Notamacropus eugenii: one gene and its partners. The protein of the gene in region 3 interacts with the protein of the main gene of each other region in a pairwise test. Links are inferred from orthologs where the notes say so. Each region holds a gene or a part of one and is shown on either strand. Other genes may lie near its edges. The genes, in order: CCHCR1, SEC14L4, USHBP1 and CCDC33.

The links.
Region 1: the proteins of USHBP1 (region 3) and CCHCR1 interact in binary tests that used the Homo sapiens proteins (3 or more experiments, as listed by UniProt). The link is inferred for Notamacropus eugenii from reciprocal best matches to the Homo sapiens genes USHBP1 and CCHCR1.
Region 2: the proteins of USHBP1 (region 3) and SEC14L4 interact in binary tests that used the Homo sapiens proteins (3 or more experiments, as listed by UniProt). The two-hybrid records come from large-scale screens. The link is inferred for Notamacropus eugenii from reciprocal best matches to the Homo sapiens genes USHBP1 and SEC14L4.
Region 4: the proteins of USHBP1 (region 3) and CCDC33 interact in a two-hybrid assay, tested with the Homo sapiens proteins (2 studies listed by BioGRID and IntAct). The two-hybrid records come from large-scale screens. The link is inferred for Notamacropus eugenii from reciprocal best matches to the Homo sapiens genes USHBP1 and CCDC33.

What each region holds. Positions count from the first base shown.
Region 1 is NC_092873.1:85,013,013-85,020,859, forward strand, and holds the start of CCHCR1 (coiled-coil alpha-helical rod protein 1), read right to left. Parts: upstream 3,155-7,847; 5' UTR 3,130-3,154; coding exon of another isoform or gene 3,127-3,129; 5' UTR 3,058-3,126; coding exon 2,923-3,057; exon of another isoform or gene 2,795-2,922; intron 2,387-2,794; coding exon 2,320-2,386; intron 2,228-2,319; coding exon 2,011-2,227; intron 848-2,010; coding exon 544-847; intron 1-543. Other genes in the region: TCF19 (transcription factor 19), read left to right, coding at 4,893-5,130, 7,000-7,564. UniProt on the Homo sapiens protein: May be a regulator of keratinocyte proliferation or differentiation.
Region 2 is NC_092875.1:14,838,508-14,846,318, reverse strand, and holds the start of SEC14L4 (SEC14-like protein 4), read right to left. Parts: upstream 3,004-7,811; 5' UTR 2,947-3,003; coding exon 2,893-2,946; intron 191-2,892; coding exon 115-190; intron 1-114. UniProt on the Homo sapiens protein: Probable hydrophobic ligand-binding protein; may play a role in the transport of hydrophobic ligands like tocopherol, squalene and phospholipids.
Region 3 is NC_092875.1:60,746,763-60,754,484, forward strand, and holds the start of USHBP1 (harmonin-binding protein USHBP1), read right to left. Parts: upstream 3,182-7,722; 5' UTR 3,170-3,181; coding exon 3,116-3,169; exon of another isoform or gene 2,793-3,115; coding exon 2,623-2,792; exon of another isoform or gene 1,480-2,622; intron 1-1,479.
Region 4 is NC_092872.1:242,198,837-242,206,062, forward strand, and holds the start of CCDC33 (coiled-coil domain-containing protein 33), read right to left. Parts: upstream 3,183-7,226; 5' UTR 2,700-3,182; coding exon 2,679-2,699; intron 1-2,678.

The DNA of each region.
Region 1 (7,847 bases), on a different chromosome or scaffold from region 3:
TAAGGAGTTTTAACTTTATTTAGGCAATAGGGAACTACTGAAGGATTTTGAATAGAAGAGTGACTCAATCAAATATACATCTGACAAAGAATATTAGGAGGGCGACAATGTGAAGGATACATTGGAATGGAGAGGGAGGGAATAGTGATGGAAGAAGACATGTTAGGAGACTACAGCAATATTCTAGGCAGATAGTGTTTGGGGTCCATTTTAACATGAGTTCCAAAAGGAAAATAGGTAGAATATTTGAGTACTAAGAAGTAAATGAAAGTTTTGGGAGAGAAGCAGGATATCTGAATTCTGAGAAGTGGGGAAAGAGAACAAGGAGGATGAATGGAGAGAACCCTATCCTAACAGCCCCAGCCTGCTTCCTTCAGGTTCTGCTTTACTCTCAATTCTCAACATCTTCCTGGCCAAGCAGATTACTATTCTAATTGAATATCAAAGGATCTTTGCTAAAGTGATTATCTCAGATTAATTCCCTACCATGTGGAACTGAGACAAATCCCAACTAACACCTAGTATTTTCTTATTCTCATTCACCTGTTCCTTGTGCACCCTCTGAGTCTCTTCAAGCTCTTGTCTGTTTCCTTCTTCCAATTTCTTCCGAATGAGCTCTGCCCCAGCCAAAGCAGCACGAAGCTCCTCCACCTCAACCCGCATTGCCTGTTTTGCCTGTCCTAAGACTTCCAGCTCCTCACCCTGGCTTGCCAGATGAGCCTTCTGATGGACTGAAGCCAACCGCAAAGCCTGGCTCTCAATCTCAAGTCTCCGAATCTCTTCCAGTTGTTGAGAGATCATTTCAGTTCGGGAATTCAAGCCTTGTGGCCCTACATAGTCCAGGGACCTTTGGGGAAAGTTATAGGTGAGATATGGCCTCTTTGGTCTTACACAAGAAAGGGATGGACAAGAGGGCCGCTCTGTTTCCATCTAGGTAGTTATGAGGACTTCTCTGATCTGATATGTAAGGATAAGGAAGTGAAAAGGGTGCCTCGGGGGAAACTGGAAGTCAGTCAGACACACAAGAGGATGCAAAACCTGGAAACAGTAAGGATTCTGTGATCTACTCCTTAAACATTTACTTAGCACTTTTTATGTGTAGGATACTAAGCTAGATGCTGGGGATACAAAAAGGTATGTACCATAATCTATACCTTTAAGTGTACTTAACGGGCCTTATCCTAGTTGAGGGAAGGCATTCACATACGTAAAAAGATAACAGTTGCATCTATTGCATAGTTGCATCAATTAAGTGTACCTCATGAATGGTACAATGAGTGCTAGGATATCTGATTCACAAGTAGATGAAGACATTATGAATCTAAGAGTTCGGCTTGAGGTGGAAAAGGAAGGGATACTCAGTCTTCTGTGCTCTGGTTTGAGAGAATGAGGAGCCTGAACTCCAACCTGAGGTAGGGGCAGAGAAGGCAATGGATCCTCTTGTTCTAATGTGACAAGAATAGGGGCTGGTTAATAATTTATTGAGCATTTACGGTATAAATTCTCCTAAACCTTCTGAGAGGAGGCAATAAAAATAAAAGACATGATCCCAGTCCTTGAGAAACAGCTCTAATATCATCACAATGTTATTTCAGAATCCATGGCTGCCTTATAACAAAGTCCTTTGGTAATTCAGGAGCAAAAACAGTAGCGGACAGGATCTAAGATAGACCTGCCTGTAACTCCACTCTAAAATCAATAATTTTATTAAGACATTAAATTTAGAAGAGTCAGGATATACACGTGAGACAAGAAAAAATACAAAAGATCAAATAATACAGTTCAAATTTCATACACAAAAGCAGAAGGTACACAGAATTTTAAAAAATCAGAACTGTTTGTTTTCTATCTTTCTTACAAGGGAAGGCTTGTGGGGTAAGATAGGAGAGAAGGGTATATATGGAAATTAATGGAAAATAAAAGAAAAATCCATCAATTAAACTTTTAAAAATAATTAACACAGAAGTGAAGAACAATTACAGGCAGAAGCTAGAATAACTAGATCCCTACCTGGTCCTTCTTTTGGGATCCTCACTATCACCTGCCCCATCTTGTTCTCTCAAAATTTGTAGTCTATGATGCTCCCATCTACGATCATTGTTATCATAGCCGTGATGGGGTGAAGGCAGGACTATGGGTAAGGGTGGGGACTGGACAGAAGTGGTCCTGGACATGCTTGGAAGGGGCCGTGTTTGGAAATGAGATGGAGGCATGAGCCCAGTGAGACCTGAGTAAGCAGAGGACAGAAAGGTCAATATTGAAGGTATAGAAATAGGGTATGCAATCTCCAATTCCATAATCCATCCCTATCCCTTTTACCTGAAGACTGGAACATCCCAAAAGTGGATGGGGGTTCCAGGTTCTTTCTCCAGCCATCCATTTTTTCCTGTGGAGCAAGAGAAACACCTCAAGCTCCAATTCATTTTCCAAGGTTCCAACCAATCCCTGGGAAAGATCCTATGATAACCTTGCCAATTCCTTAGGTAATTTAACATCTATCCAGTTATCATTTCTTTCCTTCCCCTCCCCATCCCTATCACCCTCATTTTTGAAAGTGACAAACTGGAACATCTATGAAATAATCAGTGGCTGGCTCCCACCTAGCTTTGATAAGAGACTCCATAACACAAAACCCACGATAAAAAATAATTTTCTAAGGGAAGCAGGATCTAGGATTAAGGCCTCCAGACCCCTGAAGGTCTACATGGCATTCATAGGACTTGGGTAGCGCCTTTCTCTCCCCTTTGGGCTCTACTTTTCTTATTCTGTGATCTGAAGGTGAGTGAGCACGTACGGAATTAAAGGGCTAGGGAAGCAGCTCCACTGGATGGTTTGCTCAGGGTGGCCCCGGGGGTTAATCCCCTCCCCCCCACCATTATTCCCAACACTGATTTCCCACTCCCCATCAAAGAGTCAGCATACTGCTTGGCACCAGACGAAGTCTGTAAGATGCAGAGATCTCGAGTTACCATTAACAGCAAAGCAATTTTCGGAACCATCTTCCTGGGTGAGCAGGAAGTCTAACAGTCCTTTGCCCATGTGGGGCCTTCTGCTCATCTCTAGCCCCTGTTAGTTTGTCTTTCATCCCACCCTGATGCTCTCACTTTCTCTCTCTATGGCGCTTACCATCCACTCCAGCCGCCCTCCTCCCCGCCTCTCCTGCACCCCCGTGCCCCGCCCCCTCTCTCACCCACTTTGTTCCCCGTCCTACGCTCCCCCCTCCCTCCCTCTAATTTGCTCGGCCCGGGTCCCGTCACAATTGCAGCTCTCTGGCCGCCCCTCAGCGCCCCCGCTTCCCCCAAGCCTCCCCTAGCTCCTGCTCCCTCTTCCCCGGGCCCTTCGTGTCCCTCCTCGCCCCGTTCCTCGTCTCTCGGTGCCCCCTCGCCCCACGGCCCCAGACCTCCAGCACTTCCTTTGCCCTGCCCCTGTCCCCCTCAGCTCCCTAGTGCCCACGTTCCCTTGCCCCCCTCCACCCCTTCCCGCCCTCAACTGACTCACTCTCGTGCCCCCTTACCCAGCGCGAGACCCCACCCTCCCCTTGTTGCCCCACCTCCGCCACAAAGTACCCCGCCCTCCACAGACTGACCGCGCTTGCGCAGAGCGGGCCAGCCGGCGGGCTCCGGGACCCGCGTACTTCATTCGGAATGGGGAGGGAGGGAGGACGAATCGAGACACGCAAGCGCCGTGGCGTCCATATGGTGAACCAATCCAGGGACTCGGCCTATCCCCGCGCCCTTACAGATCCCTCCTCCCCACCGAGCTCCTCCTCCTTTCCCTGAAACCCGGGAAAATTCAATGGCCAATCGGGAAGCGAAGAAAGCGGTCGCGCCGGGTCCTTTTTGTGCCTTTCCTGACTACCGCCCAATGGGGTCTGGGCGATGGAATGAGGACTGTCCAATGGGGAAATGGCATCGGGAGGGGGCGGGGTATCTGAGGCGCGCGGAATTCGGGCCCGGGGAGTTTGCGAAGGTGTTGGACGCTCGCCTGTCCTCGGAGGCTCCGCCCAGCTCCGCTCCGGGCCCGGCTTCTGCCTGAGCCCTCTGCTTTTGCTAGCCCTGTCAAACTTCAGCCCGAGCGTGCGCGCGGGGGACAGGGTGGGGTGGGGGTCCTGTGGAGGGGGGACTGGGGTCCTAGCCTCCTCGGTCGAGGTTTGTATTGCCTGAGGGAGGGGCACGGCACGCTGAGATTGTCCGGCACTGATTGATCCGAAATTAGGCTGCCCGGGCTGGGGGGACCCGCGTTTGCATTGCTTCGGAAGCAGTAGGACCCCAGGTTTGCATTGCACTCCAGAGGGGAGGGAGGTAAGGGATCTTGCTTCGCTTTACTCCAGAAATAGGGATCCTCAGCCCGCATTTCCGGGGTTGCAGTCTTATCACCTTGAAAGGTTCTTAAGCCCCCTGACAAGAGTGAGGTGTTGAGCCAGGAAAGTTGCGGGGGGAGGACCTCTGGAAAAGTCCTTTTGAAAGAAAGGGCCCCCTCGCCCCCAATTGCACCGAATAACTAAGTTATTATTAAACAGTGGTGGAAACCGGCCTCATTACGATCCCTACTGTTACATTGTACCAACTGAGTATACAATAGTATCCAATACTCCGGGTGTTAGTTAGTTTCACGGGTTACGAGCCGGTCCTTAATTTAGCCTGATACATCTTCCCTAGTTTTGCATTGCACCGGGGATGACACCTTAATTTTTTTCTTTCAAGGCCAAGTTGTCCCCCTCGGTTTGCGAGCTGAATACCTTCCAAATTTTCGTTGTACTGAACCGAATTGCACAAGAATTGTACTCCAAGTTTGCATCTGAACATCTCTCCATTTTTAATTACCCAAGGGTAGAAAGAGCTATGTATTCCCTGACTTTAGAAGGGAGTCCATAGGGGAAAGCCCCTCCCCCCATGTTGCCCTGCTTCCAGCTGCTTCGCATGGGGGTTGGGAAGGGTGGAGATCTCTATACTTTTCACCCTCCCACTGGGGCTGGCTGTACCTACCACTTGGGCCTCAGAGCTGACCTGTGTGATGTGGCCCTTCGGCCCCAGTGTGAGCCTGTCCTCATCTCCCCGGTCCATGCCAAGCTGCATGCTGAAAGCCAAGGTGACGACTGGAGAGTCAGCCTGGAGGACTGCAGTAGCTACGGTGAGCCTGGACGTGGCTGGCTCTCTTTTTAGGCAGATAGGTATAAATAGGTATGGTATGATTTGAGAAGTACCCTAGGACCCAATTGTCATTGCCACTCAGATTCCTCCTCTAGATTAGACAGCAAAGATCAAAAGACTTAAGTTGTCTCCAAAAGGTACCTGCTGTCTGTTAGGGTGATGTGCTATATGTGATATGTGTGTATATGGATGAAAGCCTTTCAGAGCAGATTAATTCCATGGTTGAGTTATGAGATTAGTTCCATATTTATATTTTATTACAGAATTGTTGCATTTATCCCATGTCACTTGATCTTTAAAACAATTGTGTGAGGTTTCCCCATTTTATAGTTTTCTGAGATTCAGATTAAGTGACAATTCATGTTTCTATAGCACTTTAAGGTTTATTGGTCATTTTCCTACCAGCAATCCTGTGAAGTGTAGGGTAAATATTATAATCTTTGTTACAGGGACTGCTTACTAGGTAAGGGGATACAAATAAAGAAACTGGGTACTAACTATGCTTTGCCCAAGGTCACATAGTTAGTAATCGTCAAAAGGTTACTAGAGCTCACTCTTTCACACTCCATACACACTGCCTGTGTTTTAGCAGATCAGCAAGCTTGCTCACCTTGGAAAGTATAAAACAGGTCCCAAGGGAACTGTACACAAGATAACAATTTTATTGCGGAGCAAGAAAAAAGGGGGTGAGTGGGGTTCAGTTCTAGAAGAGAAGAGAAAAGGCAGGGAAGCTCTGGCACAGGTTTTCCAGGAGTTGGCAATGAAATTAAATAAATATAGGGACTTTTTAAGATCACATCTCCAAGGTACACTCCCTCTGCTGCTCACTATTAGTCCAGGTTCCCAAGGCTTTAGTATTTTTCTTTGTTACTTTGGCCTGACCATGTTGTTCAACCGTTTAGCTGTCTGACGTTTCATGCCCTCTGGACTTTTATCCAGGGGTTTTCTTGGCCCTTGCAATAGCCATTTCCTTCTACAGTGGATTTAGGCAAACAGATTAAGTGATCTGCCCAGGGTCACACAGTTTAAGAGACCAGATTTTAATTTAGATCTTTCTAACTCCCAACCTATCCACTGAGTCATCTAGCTGTCAATAGATTTCAGGAAAGGTTCCTTTTGATCCAGAAGATTTTTTAATGTTTGACCCAAAAGAAATAGGAGGTTTCTTCTGTGTCTCAGAAGCCTCAGGGAAGCCCTAAGGTCCCTATTGGTGGGAGGGGGGAATCCCAAAACTAAGATTGTCCCTGTTTGGAACAGGTCTGGGTGTCTAACTAGCCCCATTGGTTTCTTATTGTCAGTGAAGACTGAGTCTTTACAGAATATGATTTTAAAAGGACAGGGGAAGAATTACTAACTCTTTCCATTCTGTGCTAACTTTGTTAGGAAACCCCCAGGAGCAGTGAGCTGAGATGATTGGGGGAGCCAATCCCTTCAGTTTACCTGGAGCCAGGCAGGATAGGAAACTAGAGAGAATGCCTAGTTATGCCTGTGAACTCATCATTTATAGAATCAAGGTCCTGATTCAAATTCCAGCTTGTTTCTTACTTTGTGTGTTATGGAACTCTGGGCTGGTCCCTTTCCCTGCACTAAAAGAATGATTAAAGCCCCTTTTAGTTTTAACAGTTTACAAAACAGTCCCTGTTGTCAAAATGCTTGAGGTTATGATCTGAGTGAAGCTGAAATGGGAGGAGAGGATGATTCACCTTAGGAAATTGGCTATCCTACATGACTTTTTGACTGTTATCTTTGTCTTGCCTTCCTTTCTCTGCCTTTCTTCTCTTCATCTGTTTTTCCTTCTATCTCTCTCCCTCTCTTTCCCTCTCTCTCTGTTCCACTCTCCTACTTACAGGTACCTTGGTCAACAATGTCAGGCTCCCCAGGGGTCACCAACTGGAACTGAGTGACGGTGATTTCCTAACCTTTGGCCCTAAGGGGCCTGTGGGAGCCAGCCCTCCTGAGTTCTACTTCATGTTCCAGCGTGTCAGAGTCCGACCCCAAGACTTTGCTGCTATCACTGTCCCCAGAGCTGAGGGAGAATCAGGAGGTGAAGGTGGTTTTTGGCCCATGCTGCCCCCTCTGGGGGCCCCACAGCGTCCTCTCAGCACTCTCTCCCCTGCTCCTAAGGCCACCCTGATCCTCAGCTCCATTGGCAGCCTCAGCAAACTCCAGCCTCAGCCCCTTACATTCTCCAGGGTTGGGGGTGAAGGTCAGGGCCTGACCTTTCCAGTGACCTTTAGGGAGGCAGGGGCCACCCTTCCCACTCCACCTCCAGCCCCTCGGAACCGTCGGAAGTCAGCACACAAGGTGCTGGCTGAGCTAGAGGATGAGGGGGGAACTGAGGAGAGCCCTCCCAGAGTTCAGGCCGAAACCAGAAAGAAGCCTCGAGGAATGAAGATTCCAGTCACTCCCAGTGGGTAAGTGGGGGGACCGGCCTAACCTCAGAGGTAACATTGAGCTGTGAGGAGTTTTTTCTGGCTCAGGAAGACAGAGGGAGTGCTCCCAAGAGAGGAAGGGGAGAGAAGGCTCTGGAAAATCTCCAGCCCAGATAAGCCATATTCACCATTCAACACTACAGATTGTCCAATATCTTCTGTCTTAGGAGACAGAGACAGAAGAAGAAACAGGAGGTTGGCAGGGACTATGAGAAAAAAACTGGAGGGGTGATAAGAACAAAAGCAGGGAGGAAGAGAGGAATGG
Region 2 (7,811 bases), about 46 Mb from region 3:
GTCCCCTGGGAGGTAGGGGAGTAGGGAATAATTTAGGTCTTATCATCATTAGCCCACCTCTACCCTACCTCTAGCCAGGTTATGTCTCCAACCCCTCCTCCTCACCCCCTTCACCTCTGAGCCAGCGAAGAAGGAAATAGTCATCAGGGTTGGGCAGGTTGGACAGCACATCCTGGACATTTTTTCGGAACTGTGGAGAAGCAACGGGGTCAAGATCACTGGCCCTGATCCATGGGGCCTGCATTCCTGCCTTGGCACCATTAGTCAACTCACCTCAATTCAACTCAATGGCAAAGGGTCATAAGATCAGTGAAGGAAGTGGGTGTATTGCACCCAGAGGAGGGAAGATTGGAGAAGTAGGGAGAGGGAAGGGGAGAATGATAGTTGTCTTCACATGATTCTGCCACAGGGGAGAGGGATTTCATGAGTTTGATTTGGCTCAGCCCCAGAAGGCCGGATAAGGAGATTAGGGGAAGGTTCAAAGAGGCTGATTTTGACTCAGTGCCTTCAAGCTAGCACTGAGTAACCACTTGGATGACACTGTGAGTGTGTGTGTGTGTCTGTGTGTGTGTGTGTGCGTGTGTGTGTGTGGTGTATGTATGTTTGTATATATATGTATATATATATATATATAAATGTGTGTATATGTCTATATGTGTGCATATACCTCTATCTATCTATCTATCTATCTATCTATCTATCTATCTATCTATCTGTCTATCTATCTATCTATCTCCCCTTAAAAGAATATAAGCCATAGTCATGGCCCAGATTTAAAGCTGGAAGGGACCTTACAAACAACATCAAGTTGAGACCCTTCATTTTACATATGAGTCAAATGAGGCAAACAGAGGGTAAGTGACCTTCCCAGGGCCACACAGCTAAGAAGTGTCTGAGGCAGAATCTGAACTCCCATGTTCCTGAGTCTAGGTTGTGCACACCCTCTGCTGGGCCTGACTTGAGAGCAGGGATGAGGTCATTTCTGGCTGTGTATCCCCAGCACCAAACACAGTGATTAAGCACAGAGACGTTTAATAAAGGCTGCTGGTTGATTGGCTGATTGGTGTCTAGAGGGGATTCTTGTGGAGGTCCCTGGTCCCCCCCTAACTCTACAATTCTGTGACTTGCCCAGGACCACTCAGCTAGTTAGTGGTAAAGGTGAGGCTTAAAACTTGCTCTTTGGGCTCCATGCCCAGCCAGCATCTGGTTCTCTACACCTTCATGTATGTTAATTGGTTTAAAAATAGGCTAGGACACATGACACCAAGGGATCCCTATAGAGGGATTCTCTCCTTCCCACCCAGATGGGTCACACTGAGGCTTAGTCAGTAGGCTCATTGGGATCCACCTGGACCATTCCCCTGGTCTCCAGAGCCAAGGGCTAAGCCAGGAAATTGAGGAACACCTGAGGAGCTCGACCAAGCTTGGGTCTCAGTCTCCCACTCCCCTCTCCATCCCTTGTCAACTTAATAGGGAAGTTCATCACTAATGACATCTTTCCTAGATAATCAATGCCTCAGAGCTACCATGTAATAGACCAGAAACCAAGGCCCTGAAAGCAGGCCCTCTGAGGGAGCAGGAGGAGCAAGGGCAGCTGGCTTCCTCCAGGTCAGACGGCCAACACAGCCAACATGCAGCTGAGCAGGGATGGGCATCATGACCCTTTGTCCCCAAATCCCAGAGTTCTCTCCCCTAGGTCATATCTATTAGAGAGGTGATGAACAGGAGCCCAAGAAGAGATGAATGAATGGAGCTGAATGAAGGAATTGAAGAAAGAGCTAAGTGGGGAAAGGTCCATGAGGCCTTTGGGGAGTCTCCTGTGGCCTGGCCTCTATAAACAGCAGGAGAATGGGAGGAGCCCTGATCATGGAGTCAGGAGAGCTGAGCTCGAACCTGGACCCAGGCGCCACCTGCTGTGGGACCATGCTGAGCATCTGTGCTGGGCCTTGGGGCTATGCCCCCAGCCTTCCAAACTCTATGGGACCTCTCAGAAGTGGGCTCCAGCAGCAGGGATTTGGGGCCCTTAAGCCATCCTTGGAGCCATGGTGAGGTGTCCGAGGAGAGCACTGATTAAAAGCAAAGTCATTGGGATGAACTTTCGTTTGGTTCTGGGACCACAAGAGTTGAGCAGCCTCTGAACCCCAGTGGCATCCATGCCAGGGGGGGCTGGGTGTGGGGGGACCCCCAGGAAAGTTTTCTGGAGACTAGATTGAGAGCAGGAGGCCCAGGGAGTCCAAACTCCTCCTTCTCCCCTGAGGCCCCTCCCCAACTATTGTTTTGGATGGGGCAGGAGCTGCCCTGCCCAGGTCCTGATATGAGAGGATATATTGCCCCATGGCCTCCCCACTCCCTGGGGAGAAGAGTCCCACAGCCAGCCCAGCCTCTCTGCCCCAGCTCTTCATGAGCCCCCAGGCCCAGGATTATGAGGCAGTATGAGAGGGCCCACAGAGAAGGCAGTGGTTCTGAAGTCAGAGGACTGCCCTGACACTGCCCAAGGGACTTTGAGCAAGTTATTTAATCTCCCTGGGCCTCAGTTTCCTAAGTAGAAAACTAAGTGGATTCAGAGGTCCCTTCTGGGTGTGTGAGGCTACAAACAGAGGGGGAGGGCAGGAGCATGGAATTCTAGCTGGGAGGGGCCCTAGAGCACTTGTAGACCATCCCCCATTTTGAATGGAGGGAGAAACTGAGGTCAGAGAGGGGCAGGGGCTTCCTCTGGTCACCCAGCTTCCCAGAAGCAAAGGCAGAATTCCCACCCAACTCCTCTGTCCCTAGCTTTAGGACTCTCTGCCCTGTCTAAGCTGGAGGCAGGGAGGTGGAGAAGGGATGGGGCTGGAGCCTTAGAGGGGGGGGCGTGAGGATAGTGGGAAGGGGAAGGATGGGGGACAGGCTCACCTGGGCCAGCGCCTCCTCCTGCTGAGGGCTCAGGTCCCCAACCCTGCCACTCATGGTGCTCACAGGGAGAAGTCTCTCTGCTGTGTCACTAGGACAGCCTTTTCTCTGGATGGAAAGTGGGGCAGAATTGGGTTTGGGGTGTGGCCTGAGGGGCAGGGAGGAGCTAGGGAGCCCTTGGCCCAACCTCAGCTGGCACCTCCTGGTGCCAGCTGAACCACCTTTGTGCCTGCCAGCTCCTTAGTGCCTCCACCTAATTCTTGAGGCAGCCAGGGTACAGACTAAGGTTTCTAACTATTTACCCCTCAGATCAAAAGGCACAGAGGTCTCCCAGAAGCCTCAGTTTCCTCATCCGTCAAATGAGGTTTAACGTAGCGAAGACAAAAATTATTATTATCATATTTATAGTAGACAAGAGTCCTGAACACAGATCTGCGCTGGAGTCTTGACTTCTATAATCTGTGTGGTCCTGGGCAAGTCACTAAGGCTCTCCCAGCCTCAGTTTCCTCATCTGTAAAATGGGAATATTATTAGCACTTACCTCCCAGGATTGTGAGAATGAAATGAGTTAACATATGGGAAGTGCTTTGCAAACTTTCAGGTGCTACATAAAGTTAGCTAGCAGTTAGTTTAATGTAAATTAAAAGTGATTAAGATGAGAAGGTTAAACTAGGTGACCTGTCTGGTCCTACTTTAAATCTAATGTCCCAAGAACTGAAGTCCCTTCACAGAACTACAGGCTTGGAAGGGCCCTCGACAGTCACCAGTCCAACTAGGACATGACCAAGAATCCCCAGGAGAAGACACCAATGGGTTCAAGCATATTACAGCTATGGATGGTATAATTTTCCCATCTGTAAAATGGGGAGATTATCATAAAACTGTCTACTTGTCAGTTAGTTGTGAAGAAAACCCTTTAGAAAGTGTTGGGCACTCTGGAGGTATAAACTGCTGCTCTTGTTATTGAGATAGGGTCCTGAACCTGTGGGGAGTGCCTGGGTGAGCACCTTCCTCATGGATGGTTGTGAGAGAAGGAAGATGCCAAGTATTTACTAGACAAATGCCAAGCACTTTACAAATGTTGTCTCATCTGATCCATTACAAAGCCTGTGGGAGGTGGTTGCTATTATCTCCATTTTACAGTTGCCCAGGGTCACACAGCTAGTAAATACATGATCCTGAATTTGAAGTGAGGTCATCCTGTACCAGTGGCTGCCAAATATGGGAGTTTTGTATGTGATGTAGGGAACAGAGGAAGTCACTGGAATGAGTAGCTGAAATAACATGATCCATGCTGTATTTGGGAAAAATCACCTTGGCAGAGGTATGGAGGATGGAAAGACTTGAGGCAGGGAGGCCAAGCAGGAGGAGCAGAGGGCGGTGGTTGTGAGAGTGGAGACCACAGTCATGGAGGCCAATATGACAAAGTTCAGCTATTGTCTGGATGTGTGGGATGAGGGAGAGGAGGAGCCAAGAGTGGGAGCCAAGCTTGTGTATGGGTGACTGGTAGGGTGCTGCTGCCTTCAACACAACAGGGAGCTTAGGGAAAGGGCTCAGTTTGGGGAAAGACAAGCTTTGTTTGGATGCACTGAGTTTGAAACTCTCTGTCAAGATGTCCAGGGTGTTCAAAGGATATTTGATTCAAAATGTCCAGCAAGCAATTGGAGATAATGGACCAGGAGCTGAGGAGAGAGACTCAGACTGGTTATGTAGACATGGGAATCATCTACTGAGAGATGATGATTAAATGGCAGTGGTGAGATCGCCCAGAGGGAGAGTGGGGAGAGGATGGAGGACTGAGCCACACACTCATACTTCGGAGGCTTGTCAAAAAAGGTGATCTTGCAAAGGACCCCTGAGAAGGAGAAGTCTATCTGTCTAGGTAGAAGGAGAACCAGGAGAAAGCAATATCCCCAGACCCAGATTGGAGACAGCATCAAGAGCCATCCAGGAGAAGCTGGTCCAGATGTCACCACCATAGGCTCATGGCACAGGTGAGATTTGACCTCACATTGCTTGCCAGGGCAGGTTGAGGGGAGGGAGGGATGGCATAAATTGGAAAAAAAAACCCCAAAATTTGGAGAGACCGACTTACAAACAAGGTCTCAGCCCAGATATACTGGTCAAAATAAACAGTGGGAGGGTGATTGAGGTCATTGTCAGAATCTTCCACAAGGAGATGTATTTCTCCCAAAAAATCTTGATGTGCATGGAACACACAAGATGGTGGAGCATTGGAAAGCTATTCTGTAGCAAGGAGTGAAAAGCTGGGGTCTCAGATGATCCCCCTGTAAAATAAAGGTTATGGATAGATGGTCACGAATGCCCCTTCCAGGTCAGAGAATCACCAAATGCCAGAGTTGGAAAGACTGACTCCTAGAGATTTAGTATACCATATTCAGATGTACTATGGCCTTCACATCAGCCTTACTTAATGGTCTCCAGTGAGGTGCAGCTGTCCCAGGGCAGCCCACTGCACTGGTGCTCAGTTCTTCTGGGTAGAAAGCTTGATGAACCTGGAGTTAGGAAGACTCATCTTCCTGAGTTCAAATCCAGCCTCAGACACTTACTAGCTGTTTGACCCTGGTCAAGTCATTTAACTCTGTTTGCCACAGTTTCCTCATCTGTAAAATGGCAACCCACTCTAGCCACTCTGCCAAGAAAATCCCAGATGGGGTCATGGAGAGCTAGACATGACTGAAAAACTGCTGAACAGCAGCAAACCATCCCCCAGTGGTTCTAGTTCTGTGCGTTGGGGACATACAAAACACAGCTAATCCCTCTTCATTTTTTTTTAAATACGTGGGTTTTTTGTTTTACTGCTGTGCTTGATATAGTGACTTTATGAATATCAAGCAATTCATTTTTACTGCATCTTTACTTGTACATTTGGCCTTAGGTTGCCTAAACCATGTAAATACAAATAAAATGAGTGTAGCAAAAATACTGAAAGCAAACAGCAGGTAACTTTCCAAAGAATGGGATGTGAACCGTCTCTGCCCTTCTCCAGAGTAAATGGACTGGGTTAAAACTTTGTCTTAAGGAACACTTTTGCAACTGCAGTCATAAAGGTGTTCATGTTGAGATTGTGTATTCCACAGATACACAGGGAATGACATGTAATATCTATGGGACATCTTTTCTACCACAGCCATGAGTGCTCCAACCCTAAAGTACCCACAATAACTACACCTGTGGCTGGAACCAATTATCCCTTTATCCCCCCACCATGACAGACCAATATGTAGGCAGTTTTCTTTGCTTAGACATGGAAACTGTTTTAACACTGGCCGTGTGAAATCACAATGTATATGCCAAACATGTAAAACGTGTATGAAAATTCCATATCCCCATATTGGTCACCTCAGATGAAAACAGATAACTCCCCAAATGTTAACTGGCTCTTCTCCCCTAATATTAAACATAAAAACCACATGGGAAATATAGAAATCCAAATAGAAGTAACATAAACCTGTCATAAATCGTAAACAAAAACTACTTGTCGGACAGCATGGATGACAAATGGTCTACTGTGTAAATTTTAGAATGAGGCAGACAAAAGTTGGAAGGCTGGTTCATTCTCCCCTCCTTCTCCTGCTTCAGCTTCATCTCCTTGGGTGTCCGAAGTCCACAACGTCCACTTGTCTCACAGGAATTGCATCATTAGTGTGCTGTCTTTGTATGATTCTTCACTTAATGTATCAAGTTCAGCAATGGCTTCATCAAAAGCTGTCTTTGCAAGGGAGCAGGCTTTCTGTGGAGAGTTCAGGATCTTGTAGTAGAACACAAGGTTCAACACCAGACCCAATCTCACAGGATGCCTCAGTTGCCTCTCCGTTTTGCTGATTTCAGGTGCTTCTTGATAGGCTTGTGATTGATCCCTATTCCTTTCCTGTCATCAGCAGCAGCAACTTCAGCCAAACATCGGCAGTGTTCTCCTTTCATTTTCAAATAGAAAACTTTGCTTTCTGCTTATGAAGCATTAGGAATCAAACACTTTTCCAATAGAGACAGTACATCATGGCAGATATCTCTTAGTTTGGTCTCAATTTTCTCTCTGTATTCTCAGGTCATCTGCTGTTTTTTCTCAGCACCTTCTGTCTTTTGCTCAATACTTGAAACAACCCTCCAAGATGACCTTCGAGCCCTTACATTTTTGTAGGCAGCAGAGAGAAGATTCCTCTCCTCATCGGATGATTCAGCTCCTTGCTCAGTTACAGACTTCATGCAGGCTGCCATGTCATCATATCTCTCAGCGTGCTCAGTCAATTTGGCCTCCTGCACCAGCTCATTTTTATCCATGACTGAATGTTCATGAGTGAGCAGCTGCGGTAGACAGACAGAAGCAGGGTTCAGTGGTCTCTGGGCAGTGGCAGAGGCAGCAGCGGGGCTGAGACTGTTTAATCCCTCTTCTAAGACATGAGGACAACATTCTCATTCCCTCTGAGTCTTCTCTCCAGATTGAATATCTCTGGTTCCTCATGAAATGGGTCAAGACCCTTTCCCACCCTCATTGCCCTCTTCTAGATTCTCTCTAGATGGTCAACTTCTTCCAAAACTGGAATGCCCAAAAGTTAAGCCAACCCCCAAGTGGAGCAGAGTCAGGGCAGCAAAGAGGGAGGTCATACCCTCCTCCCCAACCCTGGTCACAGCCTCAGACATCCTCCATATCCTTGGCAGTCACATAACCCTGGTTCCAACCAATCTTTTAATCCCCCTTTTAGAGGAGCCATTACTGAGAACTGCCAAACCCTAAGGCTGCACCTACCATGTGTAAACCCTGACCCAGGAAGGAGGCCTCCTCTGTGGGTGGAGGCCTTCCTTAGGTTTCTTTTGTCCTGCAGTTGGCAGGATGGAAAAACATTCCAGGTGAAAGGTTATCACTTGCCTTGGAGGCATCCCACTCCTCCACATCAAAAATA
Region 3 (7,722 bases):
TTGTACTGCAGTCCAAGTCCTTCAGAACCTGGCATGGCCCTCTTTGTCCAGTCTTAGCTTCTTCTTCCCCTTGACATATTCTATGCTAAGTTCTAGTTAAACTGGATGATCCCTGCCCCCTGGACATGCATTGTGTTTCCTGACCTCAGTGCTTTGGTTCACTCTGCCCTCATCTAGAATGTTTTCCCTCTCTCTCACCACCAGATGACTCCTAGTTATTCTTCAAAATCAAATTTAAATGCTACCACCCCTGGGAAATTTCTTTCTCTTGTACCCAGCTGTCCCTCTCCCAGCCCCTCATTTGGTAAGAGCTTTCCCCAATAGGCCTTACATAGCACTTAAAAAAATAACTCTCCAAGGCTCTTATGTTTGTGAGAGAGAGACAGAGATGGAAAGAGAAAGGGAAATAGACAGAGAAAGAGAGAAAAAGACAGAGAGAAAGAAAGAGATGAGAGAAAAGGAGAGACAGAAAGGAAGAGAGAGATAGAGAGGGAGACAGAAATGGAGTGAAAAGGAAAGAGAGAGACTGAGACTGTGAGAAAGAGGAAAAGAGAGAGAGATACAAAGGAAGAAAGAGACAGACAGAGACAGAAAGAGAGAGAGATTAAAAAGAGACAGAGACAGAGAGAGAAAGAAAGAGATGAGAGAGAAAGAGAGAGAGAGAGAATCTGTGGTTTCACTGATGTAGGGAATACCTCCATGAAGAAACTCCCTTCTGTTAATAGAGGTTAGCCCCCTTTCTCCCTCTCTGCATTTAGAGAGTGACTTGGTTAGAGTCATGCCGCTAATATGTGTGAGGGGTTGTCTTCTGGCTCAGAGGCAGAGCCTTTCTCCTCCATGTTCTGGTGCTTCTTGTGTATCTGTCTCTCTCTATGTAGAGATCCAATTAAATATATATACATATATACACATGTATGCATTCTAAGATTCTATATTAATCCCTTCTGGACTATAGTCTGTCATTCTCTATGTTTCTATATCGCATGTATTTAAGATTCTTTAAGTATATGTATAGACCTATGTGTTATATTACAGCCATTATATCTATTCTAAGTTCCTATGAATATATATACATATTCTAAAATTCTATAAGTATATGTGTATACATTTATAACTATAATACAACAAATGATTACCTTTCATTTTATATCAATTGTATATTCTAAGTTGCTATAAATACATATACCTATATTTTAAAATTCTATATTAATGCTTTATTAGTCTATATTATTCTAGGTATTTTTATATTGTATATAAGATGCTATATTTTAAGATTCCATATTCTATATTAGTCTATGCCCCATTATTCTATATATTCCTATGTTATATATTCTAAGATTCTGTAAATATACTCTATTAGAACTATTTTATGTATATGTAGGTACATGTATATATGTAGGTAGGTACACATACGTGTGTATGTGGGCACATACAGGTACCATAATTATACAAACTTGTGTTTGCTTATCGCCCGTCTAGAGGTCCTGTGGTATAGCGGACAGCGGTGAGCTGCCTATGGAGATCTGAGTTACAATCCTTTCCGTTCTGCATCCTGGCTCTGGGATTCCATGAAAATCACTGAACTCCCCAATGCTCCAGGAAACTCCTCAAGATGACCCGTGGCCAAGATGTTTCCCCACGTGTGATGGTACAGGAAGTTCTTCAGCTGGTGCTGCCTCACCTATAAAATCCTAGGTCCCATCACCACCCCTTTCCCTGTTGCGACTACCTATAGGACACTTGTCCCTTTCTGTATTGTGGGCTCCTTATTGAAACCTAGTGTCTCTTCCAAGGCCCAATGTGTGTGTGTGTGTGTGTGTGTGTGTGTGTGTGTGTGTATGTCTGTGTCTGTGTGTGTATGTGTGTGTGTAGCTGTGTGTGTATGTGTATGTCTGTGTCTGTGTGTGTATGTGTGTCTGTAGCTGTGTGTGTATGTGTATGTCTGTGTCTGTGTGTGTATGTGTGTGTGTAGCTGTGTGTGTATGTCTGTGTCTGTGTGTGTGCAAGTGTGTGTGTGCGTGCGTGTGCGCACGCGTGCTTAATCGCTGCTAGCTATGTTGTCTCACACGAGGTTCTGTGTTCAAAGGGCTCCTCAGCACCAGGTAAAAGTTAAACCTTTTGACCTTCAAAAGTCCTTCAGAAGCTGAGACTCTGTGATTACATAACCAGAGAAATGACCAATAATGTGTCCTTTAAAAGCAGAAATCCAACAACTACAAATCATTCCAGAAGAGTCAAATTCTTTCCTGAGTCACAGACTGTTAGAGTTGGGAAGGACCTTAGGACACAGACTGTCAGAGATGGAGGGCCCTTAGAACCCAGAGTATCAGGGCTGGGAGGACCCTTAGAACCCAGGATATCAGAACTGGGAGGGCCCTTAGAACAGGGAATGTCAGAGCTGAGAGGGATGTTAGAACACAGTGTCAGAGAAGGGAGAGCCCTCAGAACATGAAATGGCAGAGCTGGAAAGGGACATTGGAACAGAGTACATGAAGTCAGAGCTGGGAGAAACTTTAGGAAGCCTATAAGCCAGCTTTCTCCCTGTAAAGTCAGAGCTCAGAGCAGTAAGACATGACAGGGGGTCATACCTTTCTGCCCTTTGCCCCCCAGCCCCAGTCCTACCTGGGTCTGTCCAGCTGTAGACAGTCACTCTGGCTGCTGGGCTCTGCAGTGATGACCAGGTGCTCTGCCAGTGACTCTTCCCTGGGCAGTCTGGGTGCCTGCTCTGGTCCAACGCTGCTTCCCATGGTGTCTGCCTCTTCAGTGCTCTCCACCACAGGGTCCAGCTCCCCCTGCAAGCACCCTTAGCCTTGGTCACGGGGTTCTGAGCCCCAGTGGACTAACATCCTATGTCAGTATTGTGGGTCATGGAGGGGACACTCTGGTCAAGGAATTCTGGGGATACCTCCATTGGGCAGAACTTAAGGTTCAGAATTTTCTGGGAAGATGAGGGTTTCAGATTGGCAAATAGGCCCCAAGACTAAAGCTTGAGAGGTGGGGAAAGGCCTCCAGAGTTAAGGTAACCCAGGGGCCTTTCCATTCTTTCCAACCCCACCCTGCCTGACAGAGGGAGAGGTGGCCACACTCGGCCTGTCCATGGATTGCCATCACTCACTGGGGGTGGTGCCCTCCCCCGCCGGCTCCGGGGTCTGCTAGCTCGGCTGCTCATCTTTGGTTTGGAGCTGACCTGTGGGGGACAGAGAGAAGGTGGGCCCCGCTGACATCCCCCCAATCTATTTCTGTCCAGCCATGAATCCCAAAGACTTTGGCCCTGTGACCTTTTACCTTTGTTTTGTTGGACCTTAGTTCTTAGTGTCTCATCCGCACCCAAACAAGTTCATCTTCCTGATTTCCGTTTCTGTCACCAGCACTGCCATACTCTCAGTCTCCCTAGTCTGAACTCTCAAAGGCACCTCCCCATCATCTTTTTTCCTTACCCAGCTACACTCATCAAGTCAAGTCTTTACATTGAGTCTTCCAACCAGACATTGTGAAAGAATCAGACTAGAGCTCTTTCTCTCTTCCTTACCTGGTACAGCTACTTACTTTACCATACTTGTCAGCTTAGGGAGAGCTTAGGTTATGTGATATCAGTCACTGGTCCAGCAAGAAATATAGAAGAAATCCCTGGAAAAGGCAGGCAGAGGTCTTAGAAGGAAGTTTACATGTAATACTCTGATAGATGATACTCTAACCCATTTGTGTCCTGGAGCCCTTTGGAAGTTAGTCTGGTGAAACATATGGTGAAACCTTCTCAGAATAATGTTTTTCAATGCATAAAATAAAAATGCAATTTAATTGGTTTCCTTTGTAATCCTCTGTATTTTTACAGTTGTCTATATATGTATGTGTGTGTGTGTATATATATATACACACACACATACATATATACATATACACACATATATGTATATGTAAATGCATGGTCTCCCAGGAATATATCTGCAGACCCCTAGGGAGTCCGTGGGCCCAAGGTTAAGAATCCCTAATCTACAGAACTATGTCACTATATGCAGGAACAGCAACATTGTTTGATGACCAACCTTGATAGACCTACCTCTTCTCCACAACAGTGATTTAAGACAACTCCAAAAGTCCCATGATAGAAAATGCTATCCACATCCAGAGAAAGAACCATGGAGTCTGAATGCAGATCAAAGCAGACTACTTTCTCCTTTTTTCCCCTTTCCCGTGGTTTTCCCTTTTTGTTCTGATTCTTCTTTCAGAACACAGCTGATGTAGAAATACGTTTGATATGATTGTACATGTATGGCGTATGTTAGGTTGTGTGCCATCTTGGGGAGAGAGGAGGGGAAATTTAGAACTCATAATCTTATAAGAGTGAATATTGAAAACCAAAAATTAATTAATTAAAAAAAGAATCCCTGCTCTAACAACCTCCCTTTCTATCCAAATTGGGAATCTTTTGCTCATCCTCACATCTGATCGCTACCTGCCCCATGCAACCCCATGCCTCACCTACCTGCATTTCTGACTGCTGATAAGGGTGTATTGCTTCCCTCGTCACTGTCTGCTTTCCCAGTTCCAGAATTCAGCAGATGTGCTTCTCTTTCCAAAGTCCTCCTATACCAATCAGTCTCCAGCTAGTCCCCCTGCCTGCTTCTAGCTTCTCCCCCTCCAGTCTCTTAACACTTAGCATAGTGCTTGGTACATAGTAAATGCTTAATAAAGGCTTTTATTTCATTTCATCCTCTTCCAGAAAACTTTCCCCAGTCCAACCATTTGCTAGTATTCTCTTCCTTCTTAAATCATCTTTCTTTAAACTTGTCTGTGCACATACTGAATCCCACAAAAAAGCAAACTCTTTGAGTGCAGAATGGTCCCTTTTTGTCTTTGTATCCCCAGTACCCGGCTCATTGTATCTCATAAATGCCATTTAAATGCTTATTAAATTTAAACGTTGAATCTTCCTAAAATTCAGCTTTGGTCATGCCCTTCCTCTCATTTTCTGTGGCTCCCTATCACCCATGGAACAAACAGTTAAACTCCTTAGCCAAGAATTCCAAGTTCTCTCCTTGTCTCCTCCTCTACCTAACATTTAGCAGCATTCCTTCCTCCCATTTTTCAACATACATTTACTTGGGACTATGGGAGAGACAGGGCTAAGAACTTACTGTCTAGCTGGGAAAATAGCTTTTTTCTTCTATGCCCAGAAATACAAGGCAAGACCACAAGACAGTTAGATAGGGTCTCAGAGGAGAGAGAGATCACTTCTGATAGGGGTGGGGTGGAACAGGGAAGACTTCCTGGAGAAGATCACTTTGGAACTGAGACAAGAAGGAAGGGCAGGATATTGGCAGGCAGAGATAGAGGAGGAGACATATTCTTCTACATGATTCTCAAAACATCCCATGGGAGTTTCATCTCCCCAGCCTGACTACAACAAGCTCCCCAAGGGCAGAGCTAGTTCTTTCCTTTCCCCTGTCTTTTCCCATACCTCACAGGATGCCTGGCTCTGGACTGGGCATACATAAATGCTAGGTTTTGATAGCTCAGATGGTCCTTTGAGGAGATCTTTATCTTGAGTTAGGAATGGCTAAAGTTAACTTGGCCACTGATTCTCTCTGTGACCTGATGCAAGTAACTTTCCCTGTCTGGGCCTCAGTTTTCTTATCTGTAAAACAATGTGTACTACATGACCTCTTTTTAAGGTCCCTTCTAGTGCCACAGGTTGACCGTTCATGGAGATATCATCAGTATCTCCTGGCCCAGTGGTTCTTGATCTGCAGGCTGCAGACTCCTGTCAATCTCAGAGTTAATGCAAAAGCTCCATGTCATGGAAGGACTGTCTCAGTGTAACAAATGAGCAAACAATTTATCTTCTGCAGGCTAAACAAATACTTTTGCTTATATATACACATATCACTTATTAAAATATACATAATGATTAATAAAATACAAATTCATCTTGCATAATGGATGCCAGTAATGCCACTGCTTTTCATGCCTGAAAAGGATGGGAACCACTACCTAGACCAAGCCCTTCCTTTAGCAGATGAAGAAACTAAGAATCAGATTAGGGAAGTGATTTGCCCAAGGTCACACAGATGGTAAATATCAAAGCTTTGAAAAACCTTCCATTGGAAGTTCTGGGGCTGAGCCCAGAGTCAGAAGGGAAAGAGAGCTTTTAGAAGCTGAGAAGAGATTCCAAAACCAGACCCAGCCAGCATGAGCCCCAGTATACATCTGACTGGAAGATACTTATCCTTCTAGGAAGGGTGAGTGAGTTGGGACTTCAGAGCTCCCATTCTATCCAGCCTCATTACCCCGGGAGTTACCAGAGTTGCAGTGGATGAAAATACTGGATCCTAGCTCACTGATACCCTCCTGCCTGCATTTATCAGACTCATACCAAGGGCCTGACACAGTCCCTCATCACCCTTGTTCCCTTTTCTTAACAAAGCCTGTGGGGATCCAGATACCCAAAGCCAAGAGTAAAGCTAGGACAGGGAGATCACCACCCCCACTGCTAAGGCAGGACCCCCAGACCCTCCCAGGTGTAATGGGTACCTCTGGCTCACAGTGGGGTCATCAAGAGAAGGAAAGCTTCAGGAGACCAGGACTCCCCCAGGGCTCCCTGTTACTGACAGAGTGAAAGCCCAGGCCACCAGTCCTACTAATAGGACCATCACTGTCAACAGCTGGTCAAGCCAGTGCCGGAAAGACTGGGGGCTGGACTCAGGGAAGTAGGATACCACCTCCCCCCTGTCACGTGGGTCCCTATTGTGTAGTTTCCTCCCCAAGGGCATGTGTTCCCTACACACCCTAGGACCAAAAGCAAGGAAGGAAGGAAATGAGGGAGGAGAATAGGGGGTGAGGGAGAGACTTGAGGGGATGAGAAACAGGGAGGGAAGTAAGGTTGTTAGAACTGAAGAGTAAGATGGGGCAGATCTAAGGGGAGTGAGTGGTAAGGATGAAGAAATGAGAATCAGAAAAAACTGGAAGAATCAGAATGGGAAAAAAATTTGGGAAGCATGAATGGGGAGAGAACTAGGAGAATGGAAATGGGGAGGCTAGGAATGATAGAACAAAATAGTAAGTGGATTATTGAAAGGCAAGATCCCTGAGAGAAATGAGTTCAAGAAGCCAGATGTGAATGGACTATATCCTGTCTCTACTGATGACATTCTAGAACAGGGTTGGCGGATATGATTGCTGAGCCACTGTCAGTGATCACTAAAAGTTCTGGGAGAAAAGAAGGGATCAGTCTTATAGGATTGGAGAAAGGCAAATGTCCTGATTTCCAATGGGCCACTGAGCTTTACTCAGTTCCAGAAAAAATTGTAGAACATATTGTAGCACCTTTCCTTTTTTTTTTTTTTTAAAGATAATTAATTTATTTTTAGTTTTCAACATTTACTTCCATAGATTTTGAGTTTTTAATTTTCTCCCTCTGCCTCTCCTCCCCCCTCACCAAAACAGCATGAATCTGATATAGGCTCTACTTATACATTCATATTAAACATATTTTCACATTAGTCATGATGTAAAGAAGAATTAGAACTAATGGGAAAAATCATGAGAAAGAAGAAACAAAATGAAACAACAAAAGAAAAGGAGAGCAAATAGTCTACCTCCATCTGCATTCAGACTCCAAGGTTCTTTCTCTGGACATGACTAGCACTTTCCATAGTGAGTCTTTTGGAGTTGTCTTCAATCCCTGCATTGCTGAGAAGAGCTAAGTCTATCAGTCAGTCATCG
Region 4 (7,226 bases), on a different chromosome or scaffold from region 3:
TCTCTTTCCTTAGGGACCTCATAGCCTAGCTAGAGAGAGAAGACTTATGCAGGTGACAAAATTGGAGAAGTATGGGCCAGTATGAGATCATGGGCTAGCTGGGAACCTCCTCTCCCCACATGACCCAGCTTCTCAGCTCCTCTTTGTATGTTGTCTTTTAGAATGTAAACTCCCAGAAAAGTTTAGTATTGAGAAAATTATAAGCATAATTGACCATATTAATAATAAAAACAACAAAAAAATCATATGTCAATAGATGTAAGAAAAGCTTTTGACAAAATGCAACCTCCATTCCCATTAAAAACAACAGAAAGCATAGGAATAAATGGAGCTTTTTTTAAAAAATGATAAGTAGTATCTATCTGTTGCTGGTCCTTTGCTTTCAAAGAAGACCAATGACACCATGGGGTGATGTCTTGACCAGTGCACAAACTGGATTTAAGTGAGGTAGAGTTGCATAATGTCAATAAAACCCAACAGGAAGAGATAAAAAGAGAAATTCCATTTAAAATTAGCTGTAGACAGTAGAAAACACTTGGGAATATACCTGCCAAGACACACATAGGAACTCATATGAACACAATTACAAAACATTCTTCATACGGATAAAGACAAATCCAAATAATTGAAGAAATATTAATTGTTTGTGGGTAGCCTGAGCAGTACTATAAAAATGACAGTTACCTAAATTAATTTGCTTATTCAATATCATGCCAATCAAACTATCAAAGAATTATTGTAAAGAGCTAGAAAAAATAACAAAATTCATCTGGAGGCGCAAAAGTTTCAGGATATCAAGAGAATCAATGAAAAAATGAAGGAAGGGAGCCTAGCAATACTAGCTCTCAAACTGTACTACAAAGTGATTATCATCAAAACAATCTGGTACTAAGAAAAAAATAGAGTGGCTGATTGATGGAATAAATTAGGTCCATAATATACAAAAATAAACAACCATAATAATCTAGTGTTTGATATACACAAAGATCCCAGCCATTAGAGCAAGAACTCACTTTGACAAAAACTGCTGGGAAAACTGGAAAGCAGAATGACAGAAATAGGCATAGACCAACATCTCACTCTATATATGAAGATAAACTCAAAATGGGGACATGATTTGGACATAATGGTTGATACCATAAGCAAATAAGAGGAATACAAAAAAATTACCTGTTATAGCTATGATAAGGAAAGAATTCATGACCAAAAAAGAGACAGAGAGGATCAAAGGAGATAAAATGGATAATTTTGTTTATATTAAATAAAAAAGTTTTGCACAAATAAAACCAATGTAGACACTGAAAGCAAGAGACTGGGAAGAAATTTGTTAACAGCAAATTTCTCTGATAAAGGTCTAATTTCTCAAATATATAGGGAGCTGAGTCAAATTTATAAAAACAAGAAACCATTCTCCAATTGATAAATGATCAAAGGATATGAACAAGCAGTTTTCAGAAGAAGAAATCAAAACTATCTATAGTCTTCTGAAAAAATCCTCTAAATCGCTAACAATTAGAGAAAGGCATATTAAAACAACTCTGAGGTACTATGTCACACCTATCAGATTGGCTAATTTTGACAGCAAAGGCGTATGACAGATGCTGGAAGGAGGTGGAAAAACAGAGACACTAATATACTCTTGGTGGAGTTGTGAACTGATCCAGCCATTCTGGAGAACAATTTGGGATCTATAGAGATCTATAAAATCCTTTGAAGCAGCTATTAGGTCTGTATCCCAAAAAGATCTAAGAAAAAAGGAAAAAGACCCACATGCACAAAAATATTTATAGCAGCTCTTTTTGTAGTGGCAAAGAACTGGAAGGTGAGAGGATGCTCAGAGAATGAATGAACAAGTTGTGGTATGTGATTGTGATGGAATACTATTGTGCTGTAAGAAATGATGAAGGAAATGGTTTCAGAAAATATCTGAGAAGACTTACATAAACTGATACAAAGGGAAGTAAGCAGAACCAGGAAAACAGTGCCCATAGTAACAGCAATATTGTGACAATAATTCACTGTGAAAGACTTAGCTACTCTGATCAATAAAATAATCCACAACAATTTAAAAGGATTCATTATGAAAAATGCCATCCATCTCCAGACAGAGGAATGATGGTCTCAGAGTTCAGATGGAAGCATATTTTTTCTTAATTTATTTTTCTTGCTTTTTTTCTTTTTTGCAACATGTCTAATGTGAAATTACTTTGCATGACTTTATATGTATAATGAGTGTTGTATATCTTACCTTCTCAATGAGTGGGGGAGGGGTGGAGAGGAAGAGAATTTGGAACTGAAAATTTAAATTTAAAAAAATGTAAGGTCCTCCAGAACAAGGATTGTCTTACTTTTTGCTTGTATGTATATTCCCAGCATTTCACATAGTGCCTGGCACATAGGAAGTGCTCAGTAAAGACTTATTTGTTGCCTGAGTTCTTCAATCCTAGGCTAGAAAAGGGAGTTGGGGAAATTCTCTAGATACTTTTCTGGCCCTATGATTTTGCTACTTGAAAGTTAGACCACCCTATTGTATTAGGCACACATTGGATTGGTAGGATATTAGAACCAGATGGGTACAGTTATCTGTTGTCTCTTCCATTTTACAGATAAGAAAACTGAGGCTTATAGTGGGGAAGTGAAAAACTGAAACTCACAGAACTAATGGATAATAGGCTTACCCTTTTCTTGCTCCATCCCATTCTCTTTCAGAGTAGAAGCTTTCTTGTTGGATTCCTGCTCAATTAATAATCTTGCGTGCTAATGTCTGGCACTTCTGGGTCAACTAGAATCAGTCCCACTCCACCTGGGAATTGGCACAGATGTCTCCAAGTCTGTGGAGCAATGACACAGGCACGGACATCCCCTGAGGTAGGTTTGAGCAATAGCTAGAGGCTGTGTGGTCCACTGGGCTCTGGTGGCCAGAGACAGCGGTGGACGTGGCAGAACTGTGGCTGGATGTCTTCCTTAGTGTAGGGGCATTCCAGGTCTGGCAATGCCATCAGGGGCCACAGACATGGCAGTCAATGGGGGGGGGTATGGCAGGGTCAGTAGCCAAGCATCCTTAGTCTTTACGTCCCCCCATGAATGACAAGGGGTGACACTGTCTCCCTGCTCTCACGGAGATCTGGGGAACCTACTCTTCCCTCCCCTGAGGGGTTGGGGGTTGGTTCTGTTGCCATAGTGATGCTATGTGATGTCAGAGGTAAATGAGAGCACAGGGAAACCACCCACTCATAGACTTGTAAGTTGTTAATATTTGATGTTAGAGTCCTAGAGTTGGTAGTCCTCCATTCAAGCCCCCTTATTTGTACAGATGAGTTCACTCTTGAAGGTAGTTATATGAAAGAAGGATCAGAGTTACTCTGCTTTGCCCAAGGCAGAATTGGAAGCAAAGGATAGAAATTGAGGGAGATGGGAATATGGGAAGAGAGGACAGGGGAGCAGAGATCAGCTTAATAGAAGGAAGAACTTTCTTCCAATTATCACTGACCAAAAGAGGAGCTGCTTTTCCTTAGGAAGTAGTGAGTTCCCTGTTACCAAGATCTTTAAGGAGAATTGGGGTGACCACTTGCTAGTGATGTTGGAGAATTAATAAGAAGACTGATGTCTCCTGGCCCTTCGGAAGTTTATATTTGGGCTGGGGAAGCAAAATCAATGCATATGTCTGACTTATTTTGATTTCTCACTTCTCTGGAGCATTTGATGCTTTTGGGCCCCTCTCTCCTCCCTAGGTTTTTATGACCCTCCTTCTTACCTATCTGACCAATCCCCTCAATCTCCCCCACAGGCTCATCATCCATGGCCCAGCCCCCAGGTGAACAGGAACATCAGGGTTCACTTTTCTCCTTTCTATAGTTTCCATTGGTGACTTCCTTAGGCCCCATGGACTCAACCATCAGCTAGTGGCCTAGTGGATAGAGCACCAGGCCTGGAGTCAGAAAGACCTGAGTCCAAATCCTGCCTCAAACACTTCATAGTTGTGTGACTGTAGGCAAGTCACCTCACCTCTGTCTGCCTCAGTTTCCTCATCTATAAAATGGGAGTAATAATAGCCCCCACCTCCTAGGGTTATTGTGAGGGTCATGAGATAATGTTTGTAGAGTGCTTGGCACATAGTAGGTTCCTTTCTCTTTCCTTCTACGCAGATGCCTCTAATATCTACAAAGTAAGCTCTCATCATTTTCTTGAATTTCATTTAGTCGATTAGAGTTTATTAAGTGCTCACAATATGCCAGGCATTCTGCTAAGCACTGAGGATACAAAGAAAGGTTAAAAAAATGACTGTTCTCATGTAGCTCACAGCCTAATGGAGGAGACAAGCCAATAAGTTAGGTACAAATAAGATAGAAACTGGGGGTAACCTCAAAGGGAATTGTGCATGTTCAATCATTTTAGTCATGTCTGACTCTCCATGACCCCATTTGGGATTTTCTTGACCAAGATACTGAGCAGTCTGCCATTTCCTTCTCCAGCTCGTTTTACAGATGAGGAAACTGAGGCAAACAGGATGAAGTGACTCTCCCAGGATCACCCAACTAGTAAGCATCTGAGGCTGGATGTGAGCTCAGGAAGATTTTTCTTGATAGACATTAAGATTAATATTAAGTTCTTGTAGAACATAGGACTTCAACTGAGCATCAAAAGAATTCAGGGAGTCTAGAAGATAGAGATACAGAGAGAGTATGTTCCAGGTATGGGGTGGGGGGGGTGGCCAGTCTGAGGAATAGACAGGAGATCAGTGTCATTGGATCTCAGACAAAGTGAAGGGATGGGGAAGTAAGGGAATAAGGTGTAAGAAGTCTGGAAAAGGAGGAGGCAGCTCAGGAAGAGCTTTAAATGCTGCGGTCCAGCATCTCCAACTCCTTGCTGGATATGTGCCCCTAGATGTCCTATAGGTACTTCAAACTCGAGAAGTACAAAATATATTGCCCCCCTCCCACTCCCACTCCCCACCACTTTCCCTTTCCTCTTAGATTCCTATTTTCTTCTGAGGTGGTGCTAATAATCTTCCAGTAACAAGGGTGAGATCCACACCAACCTTGGAGTGCTCTTGAACTCCCCACTCTCACTCATTCCCTATAGGCAAATCGTGCTGATTCGGCCCATGATTCTATGTTTGTTGATATTTCCTCAGAAGGATGAGACCTTCCAATGACTCTCTTCCCCATCCTGATGGGGGCTATCTGATTTATATCTGACCACTGGACCTAGAAGTCTGTGGAGGAGAAAGTGAAGCTGGTGCACAGCCCTTGTCACTTAAATCCAATTCATTTGCAAGTCACAGCATCACTTTCCTGGTGTCATGGTCCTCTGAGAATGAAGGACAAACAGCGACAACATCCAGATGTTATGTCCAGACTACTCAGGGAAGAATGGCTAGCTTCTAAAGGCTAACTCTGCCTACACCTTCTCTTCTTTGGGGTCACAGGGCTGGCCCATTAGGAAAGTCAAAGGTCCAGTTGCTTATCCAGCAGAGAGCTATGTTCCCACCAGCAGGGCTTTTAACAGTCTGAGGGGGACCAGACTGATGCTGTTAATCAAGGAGACAAGGATCTGCCTTCTGCTCAGACACTGTTCTCTGGTTTTGCGAGTCCTACTTAATCCCTTACCCTTTCCCTTCCTTCCTTCTCTACTCAGTATCAATAAGCAGAGAGGAATTTCTCAGCAAAGTTTCCCTGGTCCATGGATCAATGGGAACAAGAGTTGCCCTACTGGGAACCAGGAAATAGGTGATTTGCTTTCCACTTTCCATTCCATTTTTCCTTTTAACCTGATGGCTCCAGTATCTGCCTGCTGCTACCCCTCAACTTCCCCAGGCCCACTCCTGACTGGACCCCAAGACTTTTTCCTTCTTCCTTTCTCCTCATTCTCCCTCTCATCTCTCCCATTCCATTCTTCTCCTAAACCTTTTCAGATTGTGTTCCAAGGATACAGGGCTTAGCTTTTAGCTTTGGTTAATCTGATGAACTAAGTCCAGCCAAGTTGTTAAGGACTGATAATAACTATATATTTTTCTACCCCATGTAATATTTGCTTATTTTAAATTTAAAACTCAGAGGTCAAAGAATGGTAGATGCTTCTGTCTTGTTCTCAATGGTGGGGGAGGAGGAGGGAAAGAAACACATTTGGAACTGAAAATAAAATAAAATAGAATTTATAAACAAACATAAAATATCCTCTCCTCTCCCTCTTCCCGCCCCTCTCCAGGAACAGAAGGCAGTTGGTAAAGAAGATATTTGGGAGCAGCCAGTCTTCCTGTACCTCTCTGATCCAATCATCTGCCAGCTTTGCACTACTCCTGTGTTCTCAGGATCTACAGGGAAAATGGGGACAATAGAAACTAATATTGAACAGAAGAATAGGACTGGGTTACCTGGACAACATAAATATAGGGGCTGCTAGAGAGCTTTTACTTTAGTAATTTATCCCTCCCATCATTTCCCATCCATGAGTTTATTTCAAAGACTTAGAGTGTCATATAATGACAAGAGTCCTGGACTTGGTGTAGAAGGATTGAATTCAAATCCTGGCTTGCTTGTTTGTTGTTTATATGACCTTGTGACCTCATCAGAGAAATGAAGGGGTTGGGTTAGATGGTCTCTAAGGTCCCTCTCTTCCCTAAATTTTTTCATTTGATACCCATAGCCTAACTAAAAAAATAGGTAGATGAAATTCTTTCTATTTTATTGATTGTAAAACTGAGGTCCAACCATAGCTACTCACCAATATAAATGTTCCATTTTCACCAGGTCAGTCTCCTCACTATCTACATGAGTCCTCTTGGAGTCTTGGAATGATTCCATGATCTAGGATGCACCTTTATCTGCTCTGAATCCTGCTTATCCTGTGAGGCCAAGTTCATGTCCTGACTCTCCAGGAGTGCTTCTCTCACCTCTCTAGGCTACACTGACCCCACCTTTCTCTGACCTCTTACAGCCCTTGTTGACCATAACTCCATCAATTGATTATAAACTCCCTTCAGTTGTCTGGTAGTTGCTCCACAGGTCAGTTAGTCAACAAGCTCTATTAAGCGCTTACCATATACTAGGCACTGTGTCTTACATAGGCCCAAATTTGGAACTCTGCTCCAAATGTTGCTACATATGTTAATGTTGCATACCCTTTGATTCAGCAATTCTGCTACTCATTCCATACCTCGAAAAGATTAAAGAAAGAAGAAAAAGAACCAAACATGCAAAAACATTTATAGCAGCTCTTTCTGTGAC